Macaca mulatta: one gene and its partners. The protein of the gene in region 1 purifies or fractionates together with the protein of each later gene. This does not show direct contact. Links are inferred from orthologs where the notes say so. Each region holds a gene or a part of one and is shown in the gene's direction. Other genes may lie near its edges. The genes, in order: EIF4A2, EIF3H, EIF4G3 and EIF4G1.

The links.
Region 2: the proteins of EIF4A2 (region 1) and EIF3H purify together in Homo sapiens (affinity purification with mass spectrometry; 3 studies listed by BioGRID and IntAct, with this or other methods). This does not show direct contact. The link is inferred for Macaca mulatta from reciprocal best matches to the Homo sapiens genes EIF4A2 and EIF3H.
Region 3: the proteins of EIF4A2 (region 1) and EIF4G3 purify together in Homo sapiens (affinity purification with mass spectrometry; 3 studies listed by BioGRID and IntAct, with this or other methods). This does not show direct contact. The link is inferred for Macaca mulatta from reciprocal best matches to the Homo sapiens genes EIF4A2 and EIF4G3.
Region 4: the proteins of EIF4A2 (region 1) and EIF4G1 purify together in Homo sapiens (affinity purification with mass spectrometry; 6 studies listed by BioGRID and IntAct, with this or other methods). This does not show direct contact. The link is inferred for Macaca mulatta from reciprocal best matches to the Homo sapiens genes EIF4A2 and EIF4G1.

Annotation. Positions count from the first base shown.
Region 1 is NC_133407.1:11,828,726-11,833,013, reverse strand, and holds the start of EIF4A2 (eukaryotic initiation factor 4A-II), read left to right. Parts: upstream 1-1,477; 5' UTR 1,478-1,498; coding exon 1,499-1,527; intron 1,528-2,318; coding exon of another isoform or gene 2,319-2,321; coding exon 2,322-2,367; intron 2,368-2,453; coding exon 2,454-2,586; intron 2,587-2,690; exon of another isoform or gene 2,691-2,759; intron 2,760-2,859; coding exon 2,860-2,999; intron 3,000-3,779; coding exon 3,780-3,948; intron 3,949-4,063; coding exon 4,064-4,173; intron 4,174-4,218; exon of another isoform or gene 4,219-4,288. UniProt on the Homo sapiens protein: ATP-dependent RNA helicase which is a subunit of the eIF4F complex involved in cap recognition and is required for mRNA binding to ribosome.
Region 2 is NC_133413.1:127,140,333-127,144,499, reverse strand, and holds the start of EIF3H (eukaryotic translation initiation factor 3 subunit H), read left to right. Parts: upstream 1-1,332; 5' UTR 1,333-1,349; coding exon 1,350-1,481; intron 1,482-4,167.
Region 3 is NC_133406.1:219,772,945-219,777,222, forward strand, and holds the start of EIF4G3 (eukaryotic translation initiation factor 4 gamma 3), read left to right. Parts: upstream 1-1,425; 5' UTR 1,426-1,428; coding exon 1,429-1,580; intron 1,581-4,278. UniProt on the Homo sapiens protein: Component of the protein complex eIF4F, which is involved in the recognition of the mRNA cap, ATP-dependent unwinding of 5'-terminal secondary structure and recruitment of mRNA to the ribosome. Functional homolog of EIF4G1.
Region 4 is NC_133407.1:96,460,846-96,464,405, forward strand, and holds part of EIF4G1 (eukaryotic translation initiation factor 4 gamma 1), read left to right. Parts: intron 1-167; coding exon 168-983; intron 984-1,038; exon of another isoform or gene 1,039-1,117; intron 1,118-1,247; coding exon 1,248-1,336; intron 1,337-1,428; coding exon 1,429-1,615; intron 1,616-1,703; coding exon 1,704-1,837; intron 1,838-1,965; coding exon 1,966-2,124; intron 2,125-2,290; coding exon 2,291-2,479; intron 2,480-2,665; coding exon 2,666-2,863; intron 2,864-3,085; coding exon 3,086-3,232; intron 3,233-3,560.

The DNA of each region.
Region 1 (4,288 bases):
TAGTATATTTTGGATGAGACAACAAGGATCTCTGACAAACATCATTCTCAGAAAATGTCTGGCATCACCTCAAATATGGCTTTCGAACATTACAGAGGAATGAATGAGGAGCAGTACCAATAGACTGAGGGCCAGGCCCACTTTGCCATTTTGGTATTCTTCATCTTTGTCCCAATTCCTGGCACGATAAGAATTTTCAAATGAATAAATAATTTTCGTATTAAAATAGTATTTAGAACCAAGTATCTTCAATAATACAGAAAATTGAGTCAGCTTTCCCAGTAATGATTCTTTAAGTTGGCCTTCTGAAATATGATAAAATGTTTCCAGATATTCTCGATGATATTTTGCACCATGGGTAGGGTTGTATTTTAAAGTTAAATGACTACATATATTGTTTTTTTGTTGCTGTGAAGGGACCTGAGATGGGGCTAATTGAAAACATCTGGAGCTTAAAGACTCGTGCAGTTTACGCAGCAAGGATATTATTGCTCTGAATTTCAATAAATCAACATTTCACTATATATCGGTAAAGCTCAAAGCCCTTAAAAAATGACCAATATAGACGGAATCAACACCGATGTAGTCCCAAAGCGGCACAGAGCTGTATCTGCCAAAGCGTCCATTTAAATTCGTGCGTTCCACGGAAAATTACTGCTCCTTAGCTTCTATCCATTTGCAAAAGTTTATGATTTTTTTCAGGCATTCCTCACACCTGTTAGGTTAAAATCATTAACACTCTTTTAAAAAGAAAGCGAGAGACCGGAAACGATATGAGAATAGAATTGGCTACTCCAGAGACATCTGCAAATGACACTCCATTTTTTTTTTCTCGCTGCAAAATGTACCGGTAAACCAAACTTTCCGGGACTCGCTGGGTGGCCGACATTTTCCCTAGCAGGAATTTTACGTTTCCAAGATCTGAATGGATGTTAATGGTCGGGCTAAATGCCAGGCAGGTCTTCACTGTCAAATTAAACAGCGGTGGGAGCAAGTGGAATAACCGAGTTCCCCTCCCGCACCTGAGCGCCGGCAGCGAGCCGCGAGTCGGGACCCCTCGCACGCGGGAAGACCCAGACGCCCAGCGGGCAGCGTCTCCGGCTTCCGCCTCCGGCTCCGGCTCCAGCTCCACTCCCCCGGCCCGCCTCTGCGTCAGGGACGCGGAAACCCCGTAGGAGCAGGGCGGGCGGGGAAAGTGGTGTTTGACTAACGCCGCAGCGATATTCTTCCGCCGCGAGGTAAAGAATCCCAACCCAACCCCGGGCCCTAGGATTTCCAGCGACCCTATAATATCGAGAAATTACCACATTTGGATTTTCCAACCGTCTTGCTTAGGATTTTATCCGACGTAACGACCCCAGGATCACAATTTTGTGGCTGACCGAAGCACGGCGAGAAAATTCCTCCGCAAGAAACGGGTTCCGGCCACGAGCCTATAAAAAACGGGTGGCGGGGCTCTGCTGTCTTTTCAGTCGGGCGCTGAGTGGTTTTTCGGATCATGTCTGGTGGCTCCGCGGATTATAACAGGTATGGCGCTCTGTTGGCGGTCGCGGTCTGTAGTGAAGGTCGTAGGGCGCCAGGAGAGATTATAGTGGATGGCATGGAGGCAAAAACTCCAACTTAGTGCACGTTTCCTTAGGGTACAGCACCCCTGTGCCCTTCCAGAAGCTTCCATGATGGGTAGGGCCCGGATTGTGGGGAGACAGGACGATGGTGCGAAAGCAGTGGCTAAAGGGCGTTTCTCCTCCCTAAGACATTACGGAATTTTGGCTGCTTCCCCTCCCAGTGTAGAGCACGGGAAACATGCAGTAAACAGCCGTGGCGCAGTCCGCGTTCGGTACAGTGTAACCAGGACCCGAAGCTTTATTTTTGGTCAACCACAGGAGTTGGGGGTCCTTGGCTTCAGTTGGGGAAGGGTTGGAGGCAGCGGTCTCCACTCGGCCACGGCGCGGAGGCGATGGGACCGGACCGGCACGGGTGCCGGCGAACCGTTGGCATCGCTCTCGCCAGGCCGCTCCGCCCGCGTCAATCACCCGGCTTGCGCATTGTTGGGGGCGGAGCTCGTCGCCCCGAGCTCTCGCGAGACGCTCCGCCGCCGAAACGGGATCCCCATGCGCTGGGGCCTGGGGGGCTGCCTTTCCGGACATCCGCGGCCCCCGACCTTTAGGGAAGGCGCGCAGTGTGATATTCGTCCTGCAGCTGCTGCTTTAACTTGTGCAGGGGAGGCTAATGTGCTGAGACGGGTTGCAAAGGGCTATCCCTTTAAGATGCAGTTAAGGTGGCTTGGAAGGGATGTCTGACTGCAGTATTCTTGTCAGCAGAGAACATGGCGGCCCAGAGGGAATGGACCCCGATGGTGTCATCGAGGTAAGAAACGGTTGTGGATGTTGAAGCTTTGAAAAGGTGAATGTGTTCATCTCACTCATGCGTGCATTATTTTTTCTAACTTACAGAGCAACTGGAATGAGATTGTTGATAACTTTGATGATATGAATTTAAAGGAGTCTCTTCTTCGTGGCATCTATGCTTACGGTTTTGAGAAGCCTTCCGCTATTCAGCAGAGAGCTATTATTCCCTGTATTAAAGGTAAAAGAAACTGAAATTTTTAGGAAATGACTTTATTCTACATAGTCATGGACCGTAAAAGGGAAAGTAACCTCTGGGGGACTAGCACCTGTTTGTATTCCTTAAAGTGAAATGATGGCAATCATCTTTCGGGACTGACCTGAAATGAAGAGAATACTCATTGCTGATCACTTATTATTTGGGCATAATTCATGTTCCAAATGGAATACATGGTGTAAAGTAGAAGTGACAATTTGGTGTGGGATCGGTAAATATGTATCCTACTTTTTTTAGGGTATGATGTGATTGCTCAAGCTCAGTCAGGTACTGGCAAGACAGCCACATTTGCTATTTCCATCCTGCAACAGTTGGAGATTGAGTTCAAGGAGACCCAAGCACTAGTATTGGCCCCCACCAGAGAACTGGCTCAACAGGTATTGATAGTGTAGTTCAAAAAAACTGCTTGCGTGTTGCATAGGTTTCAGGTTTCACAACTGTGAAGAATTTAAAACTTAGTATAAATTGGTCCTACCAGATCCTTCCTTTTAATTGTCCATGCATGCAGGGAGTTTTTGTTGAAAGCTTTAAAAGAACTGGGTATGCAGGTATGGTTTGTAGGGTTGTATACTAACAGATTGAGAATCCGAAACACTCTTGGATGTACTAGATCTGTCCCCATTTTTTAAGTTTGAATGCAGTTGTGCAACATGAAAACTGCAGTGACATGTTACCATTTGACTGTCTCCGTAGTTTGTGATGCATCTGTTGCATGCTATGTTTTCAAAGCTCACTGCTATGTTGGCTTTGAAGTAAACCTTCCTAATAAAGCTGGAGGCTTTATTGAGGTCAAGATTATATAAAGCACAATACCCTCTGGGGGAAAAAAATTATTTGCCCTAGCTGTAATTACAGAACATATATTTCACTATGTACTCCCTACACACAGTGAAGAATAATGTAGGAAATGTTATTCTTGAATTGTCTAGCTGATGCGTGGGGCAGCAGCATCCCAAGTTTGACAAGGCAGAAGAAAGACATTAAGGGAGTTTTACCTTGAAGCAGTTAGGTCAGTCTGCGTTTTAAGCTTGGAAGTAGTTTCGTGCTGTGCATGCATAAAAGCTGTTGGCAGACCAGTTTAAATTTGCCATTATGCTTTAAAAAGTAGTCATTGATCCTGGAGTTCTTCAGGATAATAATTAAGGCTTGGTTTTTAGATCCAAAAGGTAATTCTGGCACTTGGAGACTATATGGGAGCAACTTGTCATGCCTGCATTGGTGGAACAAATGTTCGAAATGAAATGCAAAAACTGCAGGCCGAAGCACCACATATTGTTGTTGGTACACCTGGGAGAGTTTTTGATATGTTAAACAGAAGATATCTTTGTAAGTATTGTCTTTAAAAGAGTTTTTTTTTTTTTTTTTTTTTTTTATTGTTACAGTTGAAAAGTCATATTACTGAGTAGATCTAGAAGTGACAGTATGACTTTGTTTCTAACAGCTCCAAAATGGATCAAAATGTTTGTTTTGGATGAAGCAGATGAAATGTTGAGCCGTGGGTTTAAGGATCAAATCTATGAGATTTTCCAAAAACTAAATACAAGTATTCAGGTAAGCATTACTTCACTCCCCTCTTAAAGGTACAGATGGGGTTTAATGCAGGTACTGTTACAATACAACTGACGTGTTTTATTGTCGTTCCCCCTGCTTAAAGCACTTGATGCAT
Region 2 (4,167 bases), on another chromosome or scaffold:
CCTGGTTCTTGAGGAGATGAAAGATTTTTAATTGAAACTTGGACATTTGGGTATTTTTTTTTTTTTTAATGAACTCTGGATCCTATGTTGTAGGATAAAGCAATAAATAAATGTGTTATTGTTCATAAGTAGCCTAGCTGTTTTCTAATGCTCATCATTCCAGCTACCTAGTGGTAGGCAAAAACCTCCAGTCTGTTCTTCCATGAGAGATTTTCTTTCTTCTTTTTTTTCTTTTTGTTAATGTTCTATTACCAAATTCTAGTGTAGTTCTATGTGGATCAACCTTTAGCACCTCTAAATTTGTGGACTTTCTCTGTGACCTAGGATGTAGTCTATTTTGATAAATATTTCATATACACTCGAAATGAGTGGATATTAACTTTTCATTTTGTAGTGTTAAGAATTTGTAACATGTAATTATTTCTTCTCCCAGATTGAAATATAACACCAGATCCCAATGATAAAACAACAAAAAACTTCAGGGCAGGATATGTCGTTTACTGATTTAACTATTTCATCAGTTCTGTATATATACTGATTGAATGAATAAACATTTCAAAAATAAGGGATAGGAAAAAAGTCATCTGGAAGTAGAAAAGAATGTTTTAAATTACTTATCTAAAATGGCTTCTTACAGTTGTCACATATTCTTTTAAGGACTTGAGATGTGTATTTCAGAGTAATGTGTCATAAATCAGCATGATTTTTAGAAAATATGTTCTGTATCATCCTTCAACAATACCTAAAATAACTTCTTTGGTACTTTACTCATGTAAATCTCTACATGAAACTAATAGCAGAAGGCTACTATTTCTGGTAATTCTGATAAAAGTTTCCATGTCTTAATTTCTGTATAATCTAAGTGGTTACAAGTAGCTATCTAAAATTACATAAAACAAGTTGACCAATACTGGCTCACCGCTAATTAACAGAATAATGTCGGACAAAACACTCCTCAGTTTTCTAATATGCATAATGCGAGTTAGTACAGCACTTCATTGCGAGATCAGAAATGAAAGCATTTTTACATAAGAGACACTACAGAAATAATGTGAACTGTAATGCTATTATGACCGTTTGCCTAATGGTGAATGATTAAACATTTAAAAAGTTTATTTTCATCTTAGATCATTCCATTGGAAAGAGGTCGAAAATGTACAGTAGGCATGCACAAAGGATAACGCCTGGAAATAAGGTAAAACTAGAGAAGAGGAGGGAGGCGGGGCCCAATTTTGGCTTCTCCTTCCATCTCCGCCCCTCGAACGCCGGCCTGCGAGTGACGTCACGCGAGACTTGTACTTCCGCTTCCGGTAACTCACGTTTCTCTTTCTTCCTGTCAGCCTGGAAAGATGGCGTCCCGCAAGGAAGGCACCGGCTCTACTGCCACCTCTTCCAGCTCCACCACCGGCGGAGCAGGGAAAGGTAAAGGCAAAGGCGGCTCCGGAGATTCAGCCGTGAAGCAAGTGCAGATAGATGGCCTCGTGAGTGCTGTTCCGTTTCCTCTGGCCCACGTGGGGAGCGCAGTTCCCAACCCCGTCCCACCAGCCGTACTTTTCAGCATTCTCTCCCCCGGGCTTGGTGTGGCTGGGCCAAAGTTTTTCCCTAGTACTTTTCTCTTTCATCTTCACTTTTTGTTCAGGAGAGGCGAGAACCTTCTTTTGTCTTCTAACGGGGCAGTTGGGGCTTCAGGAAGGGGACTGAGAATAGGGGTGTGAGTGACAGGTTCCTGGGGTCTTGTTTCGAGATGCCCGGTGGGGGGATTTGGAGAAAGACTCCTGGAGACAAGCAGCTAACAAAGGTGTCGAGTAGGATTTAGGGACCTAGTAGGGCTCTGGGAAGGAGAGAGTAAGGAAACTCCACTGCTTTCCTGCTGGGATCTGACATCTATAACTTCCCAAGTGGAGGTGTACCTTGTAGCCCCTCTTTTGAGCCTGTACTTCGGCGCTTTATCTGAAACCGCATAATTTAAAATAGACTCTTTTGTAGTGTTCATTCTGAAAAACAAAAGAATATCAAAGAGAAGGGCCTTAGATGTGTTTAGTAGTTAAGGTTCGTGAACTAGGACATCCAAGGAAATTCTGGATAAGGAAATGGACTTAGCTGGCAAAAGGAAAATCTAGAATGAGAAATTTTATTTCTGTTGTTTCGAAGCAAAATGCATTTGTACGACGTTCTAGTTTTAAAAGCATCCTTCCTGCCTCTCTTTTTAAAAAGCATCCTCTCTTCTTTTGATTGTTTTTTAAAGGTTATTTCCTATTAATGCAGATCTTAGATATTTGTAATAAGGAAGTACTTTTAAATTCATGTGAAAATTGTAATTGCAAGGGGGTATTTTTAAGTGGAAACTATTGATAATTTAAACCCAGCGTATAACTGAATCAGTTGAACTGACTTAGTTAAACTGGATACCAAAGTGTAGCCTGGTGATTAAGAGCTCATTCAGTCTTCTAGGCTCTTCCACTTTAACCAGCTCTGTGACTTTAGGCAAGTTAGCCTTTCCAAGCTTTGCTTTCCTCATCTGTCAAGTGGGAATGATAAGTATCTATATCATAGAGTTGTTTGGATTAAATGAAAAAAATTATGTGGTGACCTGTAGTACAATGTAATCATTTAATGTTAGTTATGGTTACTATTATGAGTTTAATGTCTGTGGTTAGCAGAGTTTGAAAGATGCAGGCAAGAGATTAACTTTGGAATGTTTTGTTCTAAATGCCACTTGTGTAATACTTTGAAAATGCAGACCGGGCGCGGTGGCTCAGGGCTGTAATCCCAGCACTTTGGGAGGCCGAGGCGGGTGGATCACGAGGTCAGGAGTTCGAGACCAGCCTGACCAACATGGTGAAACCCCGTCTCTACTAAAAATACAAAAATTAGCCGGGCATGCTGGCGAGCGCCTGTTATCCCAGCTACTCAGGAGGCTGAGGCAAGAGAATCACTTGAACCTGGGAGGCGGAGGTTGCAGTGAGCCGAGATTGTGCCACTGCACTCCAGCCAGGGCAATAGAGCGAGACTGCGTCTCAAAAAACAAAAACAAAAACAAAAAACAGAAAAGAAAATGGCGTACTGTTTGGTCTGTGTACTGGCACTCTGGCTTTCCCTGGCTCATGGGAGGCAGATGTGTGTTCAGGAATAAATGACGTGTCTTTAGAGACTGCAAATCTCTAAAGTTAGTGGGTGAACTTAGATTACACTTGTTAAAATAAGTGCCACTTGGCCGGGTGCGGTGGCTCACGCCTGTAATCCCAGCACTTTGGGAAGCCAAGGCGGGTGGATTGCGAGGTCAGGCGATGGAAACTATCCTGGCTAACACGGTGAAACCCCTTCTCTACTAAAAGTACAAAAAATTAGCCGGGCGTGGTGGCGGGCGCCCGTAGTCCCAGCTACTTGGGAGGCTGAGGCAGGATAATGGCGTGAACCCGGGAGGCGGAGCTTGTAGTGAGCCGAGATCGCGCCACTGCACTCCAGCCTGGGTGACAGAGTGAGACTCCGTCTCAAAAACCAAAAAAATAAAAAAATAAAAAGAATAAAATAAATACCACTTATACACTTGGGAAATGTTTATTTCTTAGAAACATATTTCTTATTAAATTTGCTATGTCACAACAGTACTCTTTGAATCACTTAGTTTCCAGAGTTGAAAAAGGCAACAGGTCGGTGGCATAAATCTATTTGGAGGTCATTTATTCAGCAAATATTTTAGGACATTCTTTTAAGCGCCAAATACTGTCTAACATAGGGCAGTGATAAAAGCACTTCCATAACAATGTCCTGGCAGCTTTAAGAGGGATTGTTGAATTAAAAAGAGACCTCTGCAGGTGGAGATGGACTGGATCACTTCAAGTTTCACAAATAGGCAGTGGGCTTAGGAAGGTTAAGAAACTGGTTCTCAATTTTGTGGTTTCACAAATTGCTTTTTTTTTTTTTTATCAGCTCTCTCAGAATTGATTAATGCTAAGGAACCGATTAATCCTTCTCACAGGAGATTGGTTTATATACATGTAAATGTTGATTTACTCATTTACTGTGGAAGACATACCTTTTCAGTGGTGAAAATGCTCATATCTACCACCAAAAAGACCCTTTTTGATTACCAAAGCACCTTGGAAATCGGATAAAAAATCAGAAGCTTACTAGTGACTCCAAAATCAATCATAATAAGAGCAGCTA
Region 3 (4,278 bases), on another chromosome or scaffold:
CCTCCTCACCCGAACATCAGGGCCCTCCAGACCCAGGCGCCCCAACAGTATCCTTTTCACCTTCCTGTCGGCCCTTCGGTTCTCGTCATCGCAGCCCAGGGGACCCTCCTGTCGGCCGCCACAGCCCAGCCTGGAAAGGGGCAGCGGCTCAAGCCCCTGCATCGGGCTTGGCCGGAGCTTTTGGGGTGCCCCGGCAGCCGCACTGCGGGGGGACCCCGAGACCCTCAGCAATACTGTGAAAGCTAGCTCCACTTGGCCATGCTTCTGCAGCCCCTTTTAGAGCTTGGGGACCCTTCTCCCCTAAGGTGCCTTCCCCCTCTTTATTGGGCAGAATTTGCTTGGTGTCTGAGACCAACCCTGCAGGGAGGGCTTTTCTCTGGTGGTTGTGAGGATTACACCCTTCTACTCACCTCCCCTCGGCTCCCCCTACAGCGGGACACGATGGGCTTCCCTAATTATTATTAGTACATAATAAACTTTATCGGTAAATTTCTTGTTTGAAACTAATCAGCTCGTTTCCGAGGTAAGTTGGATTTTCAGTCTAAGGTGAAAATGTACAGAAAGCAGTTCCTCTGGATAGTTTTTTTTAGTAATGGGAGAGTTGTGATGTGGTTTGTGGTAGATCGAGATCTAAGGAGGAAATGTGACGCCGGACGCTTCCCTGTCTTTGACCTTTTTAAAGGAAGAGGAAGTTCACTGACATTACCCATCACTCACAAAAGTCTCACTTCTTGGAAGATTTGCGTTAGGCTGAATATTTTTAATGGGCTTTGATTTACTCTTCATAGGCCTGATGATGTCTAGAGAGTTACCAGGGCTTCTGGAGGAAAGTCTAGTATTGAATGTTTCTAATTTCATGTTATTTGCTCGATTGTAGAATTTTGGACAGCTTTGATTGAAAAGACTTGGTGATGGGGTATTTTAGTCAAAAACTAACCGGTGAAGGTAAAACGTTGAATTTATGAATTCCACGGAGATTTAGAAAGGTATTGCGTACCTGAGAATAACATTTCATCATGCATCACCTCCTCCCTGCACCCACTGTATTTGTGTAAATCAATAATGATTGGATGTTAGATGTGTTGTTGTATTTGTGTCATCGTGTATTTGACTTTTAGAGATTGTAGGATGTTTGAGCAAGTAAGAAGCTAACTGCTGTGAGGTCCCCAGATTATTTCACAGTCTGTAGTTTGATTCTTGTCTGTATAGATTACTTTGAGAAGGGAAAGCAGTCTCCCTTCTAGAGTCATTTCAGGTCATTGTTTTCTGCCAAGTGTCATTTTCTCTGTTCTTTAAATCTAGTTCATGTTTTTCAATCCAGGCACCATGGTGCAGTGTAAAGATAAATTCCTTTCCAGTGTGACGTGTGTACTGATTTCATAATGTTTTTATCCTGCGTGATTGTGTTCAATTAGGAATTGTTCAGCGATGAGAAGGTGTAGTGATAACTTAGCGTTGCTTGTGGAAAACCTGGTTAGTTTTGGTCAGTGTCTCCGGGGTTGGGGAAGGTTGGCTGGTTTGCCGACTTCAAGGCAGAGTTCAGTGTTGGATCTCTTAAACCTGTCTTTGCGTACTACTTTGTGAGTTTAAATTCCTTTCTAATTTCATGTTTTGCCTTGATTGCCTATACTTGGTTAGGACTTTTAAGTTTCTGAATTGTGCCACTAAGTAAATTACTCATTACCTGCATCTTTGAGTTGTTTTGGTAATTAAACAGAAATGAAAGGAAACCCATAGTGGGTGTCCTTGATGTACAGAGTAGTAAGGACCGCAGTCCTGAATGTGACACTGCTTGGTGAATTTGGTGGCTTTTTAGGACACAAAGAGCTGTGTTTCAAGTATGCTTTTTCTCAGTGCATTTCATCGAAGAACTTATAAAAGCTCTGAGTTGGTTGCAACATTCAAGTAGTTAAAAACTGAAACTTAATTTTCTTTTGAATAAAAAGCAGCTGTTAAAGAGATAAATTTAAGTGTAATTTCCAGTGTAAATAATTTTAAACCAATTTTAGTTGAATGGAATACTTACTTTTATGTGGCTTTAAGTTTTTACTTTGCCTCATGCCATTGAAGCTAAAATTAATCTTCCTCTTGACGTGTTTCACAGCTCTTATTATTTTCTGTTTGCTTTTACACACTGAAAGGTTACAATTGCTAAAAATAGAACATTTTATTGTATGAACAGTAAATGAAGTATAGGTTATAGATTTCATCAGAACATACCAGTGGTGAAGTGTTATCAACTGGTAATGGGGTATTGATTAAAAAAGGATTGAAATAGAGCAGTTCTGCTTTTCTATCCCGAGGGAGTATGGGCATTTGTATTTGACGCAAGTGGTCACTGTTCAATAAGTTGATAACATTTAAGCATCTTGGCAGGAGTGCATAGCTGGAGTTGCACTTTTCATGGCTTGAATAGATTTCCAGACCCTCAAAGTATGTGAGTATAGTTGTGTTTGCATTGAATTAATAAGTTCAGACAGTTTTATTTATTCATTTTTTGAGACAGAGTCTCGCTGTGTCGCCCAGGCTGGAGTGCAGTGGTGTGATCTCGGCTCACTGCAACCTATGCCTGCTGGGTTCAAGGGATTCTCATGCCTCAGCCTCCTGAGTAGCTGGGATTACAGCTGTGTGCCACCACGTCCAGGAAATTTTTTGTAGGGTGTGATCAGCGTCCCAAACTGCTGGAGTTACAGGCGTGAGCCACTGCACCTGGCCAGACGGTATTTTAAATTTGTAAAAATGCTAGAAAGATTTGCATGGCACTATGTCCTTCATTTATACTTAGTGTTCAAGTGACAAATCAGAAATGAGGAGAAGTGTTAACATTAACGGATTTGAATGTAAACCGAAACGCTTAAAAGTAGGAATCAGTATTGCATGGCAGGGCCCATAAGGCCATTTCAAGTAGTGGCCTTTGGCTTAAAAGCAGCAGATGTTGGGGGCCTGGCAGAGGGCAGGCCAGGATGGCAGAGGCTGGAAAAAGAAAAACTCTGATATGAAAAGTGCTAAAGGAATGGCGAAATAGGCTTAGGGTTTTCATAACATAATCCAGCATGAAGTTTATAGGTTATGAAATTAGCTCTTTAAAATATTTGCCTTGAGATACGCTCACCCTCACTTTCCCGTATGAGGTTCCAAGAGGCTCTGTGGAGAATCTTAACAGTGATTCTTAACCTTTTCTGGGTAACAAACAACTTTGACATTTTGATGAAAGCTATAGGGACCCTTTCCACAGAAAACTGTGCATACACAGAAACTGTTGCTTACATTTTTTTGGGGGGGCAGTTCTTGGCCCCCCTCTTAAAAGCCTAGCCCTTTAGATTGAAATTGCTCACCCTTCAGATAATTCAAGATAAATGAGTTTGAATTTAGGTATCCAAGTAGTTCTGACTTAAAAAGTACAACTTTGCAGTCTGTTATGAATACACAATGTTCTCTCTATATGGAAAGACTTCAGGGTGTAATTTCTCTCAGGGTTGCTGACACTTCTGGGGAGTCTAGTTACTGTTTTGGGGCAGCCAATATAGTTAAGAAAATCAAGCGGTGGGTTCTTACTAGGAGCTAAATTTGGGAAAGACCTGCATCAGCCGGAAAATACCTCATGTTCTTAGCTAGTTTGTCATACATATATGACATATATATTAAAAACCACTATTCCTGTAATATTTTGGTATTAGAGTTTTCCTTTTTAATTTCTGTATTGATATTCAGTTTTATCTTACAGGCTGAAGCCAATAACATTTTCTGTCTTCTTTTTTGCCTGTCTACCAAAGCTAAATCTGAATAATTAATAATAGTATTTATTTATTGAGTTCCTACTATCCTGGGAGCCAGACATGCATGATTTTATTTAATTCCCAGGAGAACTTTAATAAGGTAGTCGGTATTGTCCGTATTTTATAGGTGAGGAAACTGAAGTGCAGAGAAGTAATGTTTCCAGGGTTCTCCTAGTAAGTGGTGGTCTGTGATTCAGACTGGTATGACTGACTCCAAAGCCCATGAATGCCTTTTTTACTATGCTTGGCTGTTTCTCCCCAAGCCTGTATGTGGGAATGGGAGGAAGAATACTCTCCTCTATTTGAGAGCCAGGGGAAGGTCCGTATACAGAAATGAGGTTCTGTGGAGTAATCTAGAACACAGTGATACTGTACTTTGTTTTAATTAGTTAATAGTCACATACTGCTAGACAATTAGGTTATCTTTAACTTATTGAGCCTTAAGACATAGGCCTTTGGTTCAGTGCATGTTCCTGCTTGTTCAGAAGTTAGCAAGGCCTCA
Region 4 (3,560 bases), about 85 Mb from region 1:
GGATTTTGAGGGTGAATTGGGTTTTGGATGAAAGTGGAAGTATAGCTTAGGTGGGAGATGATGACGTGGGAGTGTTAAGTTGGAAATACCTTGGCTGGAGGATGGGGAGGAACAACAGCAGTGAAGCACTTGCCTTTAGTTGCTCATTCTTCCTTCCTATGGTGCAGATGACCGGTCACAGGGAGCAATCATTGCTGACCGGCCAGGGCTGCCTGGCCCAGAGCACAGCCCTTCAGAATCCCAGCCTTCGTCACCTTCTCCGACCCCATCACCATCCCCAGTCTTGGAACCGGGGTCTGAGCCTAATCTCGCAGTCCTCTCTATTCCTGGGGACACTATGGCAACTATACAAATGTCTGTAGAAGAATCAACCCCCATCTCCCGTGAAACTGGGGAGCCATATCGCCTCTCTCCAGAACCCACTCCTCTCGCCGAACCCATACTGGAAGTAGAAGTGACACTTAGCAAACCGGTTCCAGAATCTGAATTCTCTTCCAGTCCTCTCCAGGCTTCCACTCCTCTGGCATCTCACACAGTGGAAATTCATGAGCCTAATGGCATGGTCCCATCTGAAGATCTGGAACCAGAGGTGGAGTCCAGCCCAGAGCTTGCTCTTCCACCAGCTTGCCCCTCCGAATCCCCTGTGCCCATTGCTCCAACTGCCCAACCTGAGGAACTGCTCAACGGAGCCCCCTCGCCACCAGCTGTGGACTTAAGCCCAGTCAGTGAGCCAGAGGAGCAGGCCAAGGAGGTGACAGCATCAGTGGCGCCCGCCACCATCCTCTCTGCCACTCCAGCTATGGCTCCTTCAGCTACTTCCCCCGCTCAGGAGGAGGAAATGGAAGAAGAAGAAGAAGAAGAGGAAGAAGGAGAAGCAGGAGAAGCTGAGAGTGAGAAGGGAGGAGAGGAACTGCTCCCCTCAGAGAGCACCCCTGTTCCAGCCAACTTGTCTCAGAATTTGGAGGCAGCAGCGGCCACTCAAGGTAAGGATTGGTTGGGCAGTAGAGGTAGGGTGGGCTAGGGGATGTGGTTCCTTGCCCTCCTTGATGACCTCCCGTTTTTGCCATGTTTCTGGGTCATAGAGGCCCTGCAATGGAATCTAAGAACTAGATTAAGGACTTTTAAGCCTGAAGACTGTGATGCAAAGGGGAAATATGTACTTTGGCTGCTTTTTATTTCCCAGGGATTAAGGGTACTCCTTAAATTATTGGCAAAGACCCATGCTTTTATTTATTTTTTAAAATTAGTGGCAGTATCTGTGCCAAAGAGGAGACGGAAAATTAAGGAGCTAAATAAGAAGGAGGCTGTTGGAGACCTTCTGGATGCCTTCAAGGAGGTAAGGGAGCAGAAAACGGAAGGGGAGAGGGCCAAGTTGAGGTATGGAACAGTGGTCATTGTGCAACCAAAACTGGTGTTCTGTTGTTCTAGGCAAACCCGGCAGTACCAGAGGTGGAAAATCAGCCTCCTGCAGGCAGCAATCCAGGCCCAGAGTCTGAGGGCAGTGGTGTGCCCCCACGTCCTGAGGAAGCAGATGAGACCTGGGACTCAAAGGAAGACAAAATTCACAATGCTGAGAACATCCAGCCCGGGGAACAGAAGTATGAATATAAGTCAGGTATGCTGAAGAAAGGGTTGAGAATGACTTGAGTTTTCTTATTAGGGCCAGAGAAGACAGTATGATTGCTTCATTCTCTTCCTCGCAGATCAGTGGAAGCCTCTAAATCTAGAGGAGAAAAAACGTTACGACCGTGAGTTCCTGCTTGGTTTTCAGTTCATCTTTGCCAGTATGCAGAAGCCAGAGGGATTGCCCCATATCAGTGATGTGGTGCTGGACAAGGTTAGTGGCTTGAGTCAGGGAGGGGACGATAAGTTTGTGCTGGATGGATTGGGGAGGAGCCTGAGGTCCTGAAAGAGTAGTCAACTGCTCTAGCCTGCTTCTAAGACCTTTTCCTGTCCTCTTTGCAGGCCAATAAAACACCACTGCGACCACTGGACCCCACTAGACTACAAGGCATAAATTATGGCCCAGACTTCACTCCATCCTTTGCCAACCTTGGCCGGCCAGCCCTTAGCACCCGTGGGCCCCCAAGGGGTGGGCCAGGTGGGGAGCTGCCCCGAGGGCCGGTGAGTGGGGCTGGGTAAAGGGGCAGGTGGGTAAGGAGTGGGAGTGGATGATTCCCCTGTGTCTCAGTGCTGACGGGGAGGGTTTTGCCCTGGAGGCGTGTAGTAGTGGTATCACATATTGTGCTGACTAGTTCCACGTCCCCTCTTGTCTTCATCTCTTGCTTAGCAGGCTGGCCTGGGACCCCGGCGCTCTCAGCAGGGCACCCGAAAAGAACCACGCAAGATCATTGCCACAGTGTTAATGACCGAAGATATAAAACTGAACAAAGCAGAGAAAGCCTGGAAACCCAGCAGCAAGCGGACGGCAGCTGATAAGGACCGAGGGGAAGAGGATGCTGATGGCAGCAAAACCCAGGTACTGGCGAGTCCTGCTTTTGGTCTCTCTCCATTTCTTTTCCATGTCTGCTGTCAGTGCCCTCTTTGCTGCTTTTTGTCCTTATCAGTAGCATCTGTCATGCCTAAGTCCCCACCACTCTCTCCTGTCCCTCTGAACAGCCTGTTCTGAGACCCTCACTGGAACTCTTGTCTCCTCTTCCTCCAGGACCTATTCCGCAGGGTGCGCTCCATCCTGAATAAGCTGACACCCCAGATGTTCCAGCAGCTGATGAAGCAAGTGACGCAGCTGGCCATTGACACCGAGGAACGCCTCAAAGGGGTCATTGACCTCATTTTTGAGAAGGCCATTTCAGAGCCCAACTTCTCTGTGGCCTATGCCAACATGTGCCGCTGCCTCATGGCGGTTAGTTTCCACTGGGTTCTAAATCTTATGGTCTAGTTGCCCATTTCTATTCCCAAGACTCCTTGAGTCCAGCTTCTTGGTTCTCCTCCAACTTGCACCTCTTCCAGCTGGAAGGAGGCACAGCTGGGGCCAGATATCTTCCTGGGTCAGGTAGTTAAAGGCTCTTGGAGGGCCTTCCCTGCCCAGTACTAGTCTGAGTGTGACATTCTCTCCGACCTGCAGCTGAAAGTGCCCACTACGGAAAAGCCAACAGTGACTGTAAACTTCCGAAAGCTGTTGTTGAATCGATGTCAGAAGGAGTTTGAGAAAGACAAAGATGATGATGAGGTTTTTGAGAAGAAGCAAAAAGAGATGGATGAAGCTGCTACGGTGAGAGAAAACCCACTACCGATTCCACTCCCCACTTAGCTCCTTCCCTCACCCAGATTCTACTCAACTGTAGAATTTGGAATGGAAATAGTGGTGTCTTGGGGATTTCTCTGGCTCAGAACTTTTTTTTTTCCTTTTTGAGACAGAGTCTCGCTCTGTCACCGAGGCTGGAGTGCAGTGGCGTGATCTTGGCTAGCCTCCACCTCCCGAGTTCAAGCGATTCTCCTGCCTCAGCCTCCCAAGTAGCTGGGATTACAGGCATGTGCCACCATACCTGGCTAATTTTTTTGCATTTTTAGTAGAGACGGGGTTTTACCATGTTGGCCAA